Bombyx mori: one gene and its partner. The protein of the gene in region 1 purifies or fractionates together with the protein of each later gene. This does not show direct contact. Links are inferred from orthologs where the notes say so. Each region holds a gene or a part of one and is shown in the gene's direction. Other genes may lie near its edges.

Region 1 (4,637 bases):
AAAAGATCTTTGGAAACGCACTGACGTTCATTGCAGCGGTTCCAGATAATATGGATGAACTCTGCTCCAATAGCGGGAGGTGTGATGATAAAAAGGAGATGAGGAGATCATCCCGAATAACTCTTCAGATCATTTTCCATGGGACATACGGTACAAAACACAGAAAGAACCGAAGTCCCTTCGTAGATCCAGAGGTTGCAAGCGATTCGCGGGAACGGGAATGACAAAAGGGTCCTTCTTCGCCGTGAACGCGCAAACCTGTGTCTTCAATGGGTTGAACTGAACAGAATTCAGTTCAACCCACTTGGAGACCCGCCCCAGAGAGTTTTCCACTTCAGACATAATAAGTTTGATCGCCTATCTTGGCACCACGCTTCGAAAGAGACTGATGGCCGAGATATCGCGCATCCCCCGTGCTATCATCAATAAACTGGTGGTAAATGCCGCCCATATCATTATTTAGCCCTAAAATTATATTCACGTACGTAGTTTTTTTTTTAAATGCGATTAGTAGGCTAGGTCAGGATGAGAGATCTTGGCCGGAAGCCAGAACTGCCTTCGTGCAACACAAACTCAACCTCTTTAAACCAACACCGATTTAGAAACAACCGGCACACTGCAACGAAATAAATCCATTCATGAGTAATTAACATTGAGAACAAAAGATATCCAATGTTCTGGGAGCGGCAGAATTATTAATGAGCTAGATATAGTCTGCGGGTTAGCGTTAGGTGTACTCGTCGAGATCGGGTCAGAACTTTTATTAGAAGATTCATTCATTAGTTTCTCACGTGAATTTGTAATGCGTGAACGGTTTCATTCTTTTTTTTATCTTTTATAGGTTGAAGAAATACGAGAGATGATAGACAAGATTCAGGCGAACGTCGAAGAAGTGAAGAAAAAGCACAGTGCCATCTTATCAGCGCCACAGTCAGATGAAAGTAAGTAAACGAAAAATAGACTGAATTCTGAATAATAAAGACACGACAAGGCAATTTGAACCCTCATAATTGAATGTTTTCTCCAAAAATACCCACACAAGGGAATTAATTTAGCTTGATGGAATTAAGGTTCAAATTAAAATAACACAATTATTTTATTTACCGTACCATATGTAAATATATGTCGTGGTTGGTTTTTGTTAAAATTTTGTATATATCATAGTCTAACTCTTTCTAAACCCGCTACACAATGCAAAATCAGTAATTTATGTAGAATGGCACTCGGCTGGTACGTGCGGGAATCGAGGCGGATCAAAAATCGATTGCTCTCTTCTATATTTGGATGATAAAACGTGATCAATTACAATATTGAATTCGTGCTAAAAATAACGTAGAGTGCCGTTAATTTATTAGCACGGGTGTTTATGTTAACGTGGGTAGCAAAGCTCGCAAAATAACCCACACAGTAGACACCGGTGGGCGGAAGGGCGAAGTTGACGGCATTTACTTGACTTTAACGCGCTGAAACTTTCTTCGTCTGACGTACACGAGGTTCTTTGTGAGATAATAATATTTCAATCTAATTTTGTAGAAAATATTTTCGCCGATTTATTTTATAAGTGGATTTTTAAACTTTAAAGGGATTTTGTGAAAGTTAAAATGAAATTTAATTATCGTTCTGAACGTTATAAAGTTCTCGATATTTGCCGTATCGACCTAAGTTTATGTTGTACTATAATATATTGAAGTTTTCAATAAAATAATAATAATATCGACAATTATTTAGTACAAACAAAACAAAAATAAATGTACTGGATTATTAGTTTTTAGTTTGTCGCGATGACAACAGACTTTTTGTGCTATTTAATGAAGTTGATCTTGTTTCTAGCAGATTTTAAATAGAGATCATTACAATTAAATCGCCCTAGCTAACAGTTTTTATTAGTTTTAAGAAATATATTACTTTTATGCTTATATTACTTTACGTATAAGCTTTCAGTACTTAAATTAAAATTTAATCTACTCGGTAATTTAGTCATTGTTTCAATCTTATCAACGTTTAAACAGTCGATAGTGATAACTAATACAATCCATTGTATTATTCTGAGTTTGCGCCATTCAGAAATGAAAATGAAAATATTGTTTACATTTTTATGGGACATACTTAAAAATATTTCGATTACATCAACCTTCAAATAAATGAAAAGTGAATTGAGAACGGTCTATTTGGAAGCTGGAATGTCATAGGCAGTCAAAAGCCCCTCGTGACAAACATTTCTTTTAGCAACTAGATTAGATAAAATTCATCCCACACGCAACGAAAGTATGTAATTAAATATACATAATATGCATAATTAATTAATTGGAAGGATAGAGATGGCTTAATGGTCGAGAGTCGACGGCAATGAACTCGGCAAGATCGCCACGAATGGTCGAGATTGGCCATTGACCCAGCCTAAATAGCTTCGGATAACCCATCGGTTCAGTCATTAATATCGAAGAGATTCGTGATAAAGCTTTACGTTATCAAACACGATTCCTACGAAAGGTTTTTTGAATCCGTGGTTGCTTTACAGGAATTTGGAATATATTTGTTTCAACTTTACGGTTACTGGTGGCAGAACCTATGTGAGTCCGCGCGGGTAGGTACCACCACCCTGCCTATTTCTGCCGTGAAGCAGTAATGCGTTTCGGTTTGAAGAGCGGGGCAGTCGTTGTGACTATACTGAGACCTTAGAACTTATATCTCAAGGTGGGTGGCGCATATACGTTATATATGTCTAAGGGCTCCAGTAACCACTTAACACCAGGTGGGCTGTGAGCTCGTCCACGCATCTAAGCATTAAAAAAAAACTTTATATCTACATCCTAATACGTTGGATGTACGTGTTCGTTTAGAAGAACATAAGAACTTTTTGTTTGATAATTGTCACTTTATTTCAGAAGTGGGTGGGTGAAAGAGCTCATGGCCATAAAAATCGTAAAATTATTGCCGACACCCACTTTGCCATGGGGTCAATTCTCAATTTAATAGTATAAGGACTGTCCGACCCTTCAAATCTTAATATATTAATTACTGTTTCGCGCCAAAAACAGACAGACTGGTTGTATCTATCAGTGCGAGTTCACGAGACGCCCTAACATCAGTAATCAGAAAATCTACTTAATATCTTATGCCTGTATTCTAGCATGTTCTTTCTTGTCGATTCAAAATACGAACAAAAGAAAATAAAACAGTAACTTTAAAATTTGTATGAAGGATTTTTTTTAAATTTGGATTAATGTACTTTACAAAATTTAATGTTCTTGGAAGGAAATAAAATAACCTGTTTGGTTATTTTTTAATTATTAATAAAATGCGAGTGCGGAAACGACAGTCTAGGCATGCTTTTAATTAAAAAAAAGTCGTCGTTTAAATAGAATAGAATTTTAAGAAATGCCCAGCGATACCATAATCTACACTTTCTCAATAAAATACTGAAGAATGGAATTTTTCAGACAAGTTATATTACAGTTAGGATAACAACTTTAACATACATCAAGAAATTGAAAAAACTTTGTCACTCTTTTACGTTTTTAAAAAGATCATTTTCCGCTCGACGGCAAGCGACCGAAAGGGCGACATTTTCAGAGAATATTTCCTTAAAATAAAACTGATTTTATTCACGAAGTTTGTGTTGGCTGTAAAGACCTCTTTTGTGAAAGCTCGCTCGATTGAAAATGTGTACGTGAGCTTGCAAGAATGCTTGTGAAGTGTCGCAGGAAAATAGCTGTGTTCTAGATATTACCAACTCATTTTCACGAAACTTTGGTGGTTTTTAATTGAATTTTACAAAACTTCTTGTAGATACAAATTTTATTCAGCGCACAGGTGTGTGCTTGTTCACAATTGAATGAAAATGGGTAACGTTGAATGGAAGACGAAATTTAAACATATAAATAGTCGGCGAACCAGGTTATGTTAACTCTGTTCATAATATGAGCACTACAGCTGAAATAGGACTTCGGGGACCCAAGTTTGAAACAACACCGCTGGGAAAGTGTTTTCAGTACAACTATATATACAGAACATTGTGTTAATTTCACGGGAAATCCTAAAAGTTCTACGTACAAAACCTCAATATGTCTTCAATTTTATTTTTCAACGTTGCAATACGTGCGCCCCTTCAATGATTTATTCATATTGAAAAGAAGAGAATTTATTGACGTTTTTGAATGTAGAACGTGCACCGATAACACCTCCTCGTATTGAAGCCCAAAAATAAATGCAAAATGAAATTTCCTATCACTCGGAAGGCAAATGAAAACTTTATACGTTATAAAAGTAATCTAGTTTGGTCCGAGTTACTTTGGCCTAATTTAATACTAAACTGCGGCTAAGCTCCCAAGAGACCCTGCCTTGGTCATAGGCAGGGCCATGAAGACCGTCAAGTCGTATGCGGCGACCAGTGCCAAAACCAAAGCTGCTGGCCGCAGGCTGCGGGAAGTCGTCTCGCGAGTCTCGAAGGTTCTGCCTTCGGTTGCTTCCGCCAATGACCAGGTGGTGCAGCTGATGGCGGAGAATTTGAGGCTCCGAGCACAGCTACAGGCGCAGCAGCGGCCCGATGGCAAGGTTGCTGCTACCAAGCGGGTAGCCGCGACGAGGTCGTCGCCCGCGTTGCCGCGTGCCGCTGGGTCGCGGACTCCTCCGGCATC
Region 2 (4,222 bases), on another chromosome or scaffold:
ATTTCGGTTCATGGTTACTAAATGCATGAAGTCGTCCTTTACCATACATAAATTCGGGATTAAACGCTTTATTACTTATTTACGTATAGTAGTGGTCCCCTGGTAGTCGAAATCCGACTATAATTAATTGAACTTATAAGTTTGAACATTATTATAGTTCTGTTGACAAAGATTAGGTATTTATTATACCTCTATGATCACAGATTTCGCCAAGACTACACTATAGACAAAAAATATTTAATCTATTTTTTTTTTAGGGATTTTATGACCTGGTAACTGAGACCTTTAAGTCATGTCTTATTTTAATTTATATTCATATTTTTATGAAAAATGATATTATGGAGTGAAATGAAATGAAGATGATTAATTTGAGACATTAATCAACTGGGATGAAATGAAATGAAATGAGATGATATGGGATGAAATATAATCCCAGTAAAATGGTGGTCATTTACTAAGATTTTTCAGTGGACTTTTTGGAGGATCCCGAGAAGTTACGTCCAGCGGCTTTGTTTCATTTTCCCTCATTTGTGCACTTTCACAGATTTTAAACAGTTAATAAACCACCATTATTACACATTTGAACTCGAAGAAACACTAAATAGACAAAATAAAACAAATCACACAACTTCACTCCTCGCGTTCCCGCCAAAAAGTCATATTTAATCTATTCTCAATTTGACCACAGACTATAAGCAATAAGAAAAGTTTGGCAATAAACAAATAGTATATAACACACACGCATTGTGTGTGTTAAATACATATACAAATGGTAGTGTGTGTAATGTCTTGTTTTATTGATTTCATGAATTTTTAAGCAAATTAAAAAAAAATAACATTCTTCACCCCTTCTGTATATTCTCTATAAGAGTGGGAAGTTTCATACTCATACCGTCCGCGCAATTTTCTTAAAAAGGGATACAAAATTTTTGCTTCTCGCATTAATATATCGATTAATCTAAATTTAATCTAAAAATCAATTAATGTTGATCCGTTTTTTTTACGATAGATATTTTTTCTGTCGTTTAATATATAAGTCGTGTGATAGGATAACGAACGACGCTCGTGAAGACGAAATGGAGGAGAACATGGGTCAAGTGAACACCATGATCGGGAATCTGCGCAACATGGCCTTGGACATGGGTTCCGAGCTCGAGAACCAGAACCGACAGATCGACCGCATCAATCGCAAGGTAAGATCGAATGGTTCGTCACAACCCTACTACGTGACAGACCTGTATAGTTCGAACAAAGTAAATTCGTTGAATGTTTACGTAAAATTAGTGTTGCCAGATAGAAAATTTTTTTTACTATATTCTCATTTACTTCTATTTAAATTTAAATAAGCTGTTATTTAATTCCTGAAAAGAAATAAAATTAAAAAAGAGTAGTTAAGCACTCCTTTGCACGTATGTACAGACGTATTTTAAAATGTTTTTTTGTCTATATTATCATAAAGAATAAATGAAAATAACATTTAAATAGATTCTAAAGTTCTCTTAAACTTAACTTTTTCATGTTTTTAATATTAAGATACAACAAAAATAGTCTGGTTTTTTTTATTAAACTAATTATCTACAGTAATTATTATATTTAATATTTACATCAGAGAAATAAATAAAATGGCAACACTACCAACGAATTTACTGATCAAATCGAAATATATTTCAAATCTTCGTCTTGTACATTATCTGGTGTGGTTTTCAAATTTTAATCTGCTAATGAGAAGAAACGAATTGATTTTCCTCGATGAATTCTGTCGCTTCTCATAGCACTCATTGATCACCATTTCAATGTGTATGCATTTGCCTGTCACTATAGTAACGAAGTTGCTTAGATAGAGTTTGTCCATTATACGAAAAATGTAGCGCTTAGTGGCCCTCGAAATTGTTTGATCACCCGCTTACTGGCAGGTATTGGGTAGAAAAAAAAATAGAGTCGAAATCCGATTGGTTAATAACTGAAAACATGACGTAGCTAGGATTTATTTTTAAAAGTCGTTATAACCTATAAAGATTTAGGTCGTAATTCTGGTTAAATTCTACTTAGTGTTGCTATTGTAAAAGTCTCGAACAAGAAATGCATGTCATTGGTCATCTGGAGATAAAAGAATTGTTCTTGTTGTTGTTATTTAGAGATTAACTTACTTTGGTCGAATAAGAGTTTGAGGCAGTTAAAATATAATATCTCCTCAACGGCCCTGTCAATTTATGATAAGATAAAATAACATGTTTCCTCGGTAGCCAAGTAAGCCTATGAAGCGGATAAAATCTCTTGTTACCTCCGGCGCTTAGATTAATCTGTGATACGAATAGAATAACCAAATTCCCCCGTCGCCAAGTGAGACACCCAAAAAGAGTTATTATTTCCTCATTAGCCAATTACGAGGAGATATAAAATATACATTTCCACGACAGCTAAGTCAACCAAGTATATTATTATGCAAAAAAAAGAAGTAAATATGAAGTTTTAAACAATTTTACTTGGTGACTGAATCGATGGTGCTCCTGATTGCTGGGTCGAAGAACGTGGGTTCGATTTCCACATTGGCCATACATTCATTGTAACACTGAGACCTTAGAACCCATGTCTCAGGGTGGGTGGCGGCATTTACGCTGTAGATGTCTATGGGCTCCGATAACCACTTAACACCAGGTGGGCTGTGAGCTCGTCCAACAGTACGCAAAAATAATAATTAAAAGGTCTTTTTGCTATTTATATCAGTCTCTTGTTTGAGGCTGGATGACCGCCTGTCACTTGTTCCCGGTTATTATCATTATTATTAACTATGTATGAAGTTTTAAATCTGTTTATAAACCTTAAATAGTCGACCTATAAAAAATTAGTGTTCAAATGTGATATAGTTGCATACTCTTATCGCCTATTCTTCTATCTTAAGCATGCTCTATTAGATTTAGAAATAAGAATGATACGATTTTTTTTTTTTTCGTAATTTAGTAATGTACTCTCGTCTCACGATGTCATGACTCCCAATGAATACATTACATAACCACATACCGGAATTAGTTCCGACATCATTCGAATAACATGTCCGACTCCCGCAGAATTAGAGGTCATCAGTAACACGCATTCATACTAACTAACATGTTATATACTCTGTCTGTCAAGAAACAGCGACTGACATGCCAATGGAAATGGCAAGCGCGGATAAGTCGTTATAGCCGGTCCGACGCCGCTTTTATTATTATAAACATGAGCAGTCGCTGTGTATTGAGCTTGTACTATATATATATATAAAAAAAATACGGGTCTTGTGTATCATAGGGAGAGTCAAATGAAACGAGGATAACTCTGGCGAACCAGCGCGCTCACGAGCTCCTCAAGTAAACGACGGCGGCACTCAAACACACAACAGACAAACACACAGTCTCGTGGATTGTTTATAAATACGCGTAAATCAAACAACAAAAAAATAATAATCCTAAAAGCGCCTAATCTATAGTCCGTATTTGAATTTGTTCACGAATAATAATAGAGAATTTTCAAATGGTACGTATAAAATATGATGGTACAGTTTTGGCATTATTAGTTTCTAGTAAACATTGGTTTGAATTAAGATGCTATATTTGATTGCATCTTGATAACCAAATAAATGACAAGTATATTTTTAGTGGTTTGTAAAAAGCATATAGATGTTCAAAAAGCCTCGTCCTTGCGCTATTGTATGTGAGTCGACTATTATCAAAGGCGGCAATCTGACTTTTGGACAATGATTGGTAAATCAGAAAAACGAATTATTGACTTTGTATTCCATTGGCAGTCACAAAACTCTTCGGAACGACATCTTAGATAAATAACAGGTTAACTATTAACCTTTATTTAATGCAGGTTTTGAACCGTATTCTTTGAAGGAGACGATTATATTCAAATAAATCTGTATTGACATATCAATAAAAAAATTTTGTCCAAATGTACAGATTGCCGCCTTTGATAATAGACGACTCATGTAAAGTATTATTAGATGAACTAGCTGTTCTATCTGTGCTAAACAAATTCTTACTTACGAACGTATGCTTGTTTAACTGCTTTATAGAATTTTTCAGCAAGAAAACAAATCAGTTAGCTTCCTTACGATTACGTATTGAAGAAAAGATGACGTCTGTGCTTCCTTTTAGTAATTATATCTTAATAACCATAATTAAATGTTCGAATGTAAAAGCGCTTTTAGACAATTCATATGGCATATTGACGTAAAACGAAT

The links. Proteins that work in one complex are often made in the same cells at the same time.
Region 2: the proteins of syntaxin-1A (region 1) and synaptosomal-associated protein 25 purify together in Drosophila melanogaster (affinity purification with western blotting; 4 studies listed by BioGRID, with this or other methods). This does not show direct contact. The link is inferred for Bombyx mori from reciprocal best matches to the Drosophila melanogaster genes Syx1A and Snap25.

What each region holds. Positions count from the first base shown.
Region 1 is NC_085116.1:5,340,017-5,344,653, reverse strand, and holds part of syntaxin-1A, read left to right. Parts: intron 1-841; coding exon 842-941; intron 942-4,637.
Region 2 is NC_085131.1:7,036,717-7,040,938, reverse strand, and holds the end of synaptosomal-associated protein 25, read left to right. Parts: intron 1-1,048; coding exon 1,049-1,346; 3' UTR 1,347-3,285; coding exon of another isoform or gene 3,286-3,348; 3' UTR 3,349-3,381; downstream 3,382-4,222. UniProt on the Drosophila melanogaster protein: May play an important role in the synaptic function of specific neuronal systems. Associates with proteins involved in vesicle docking and membrane fusion.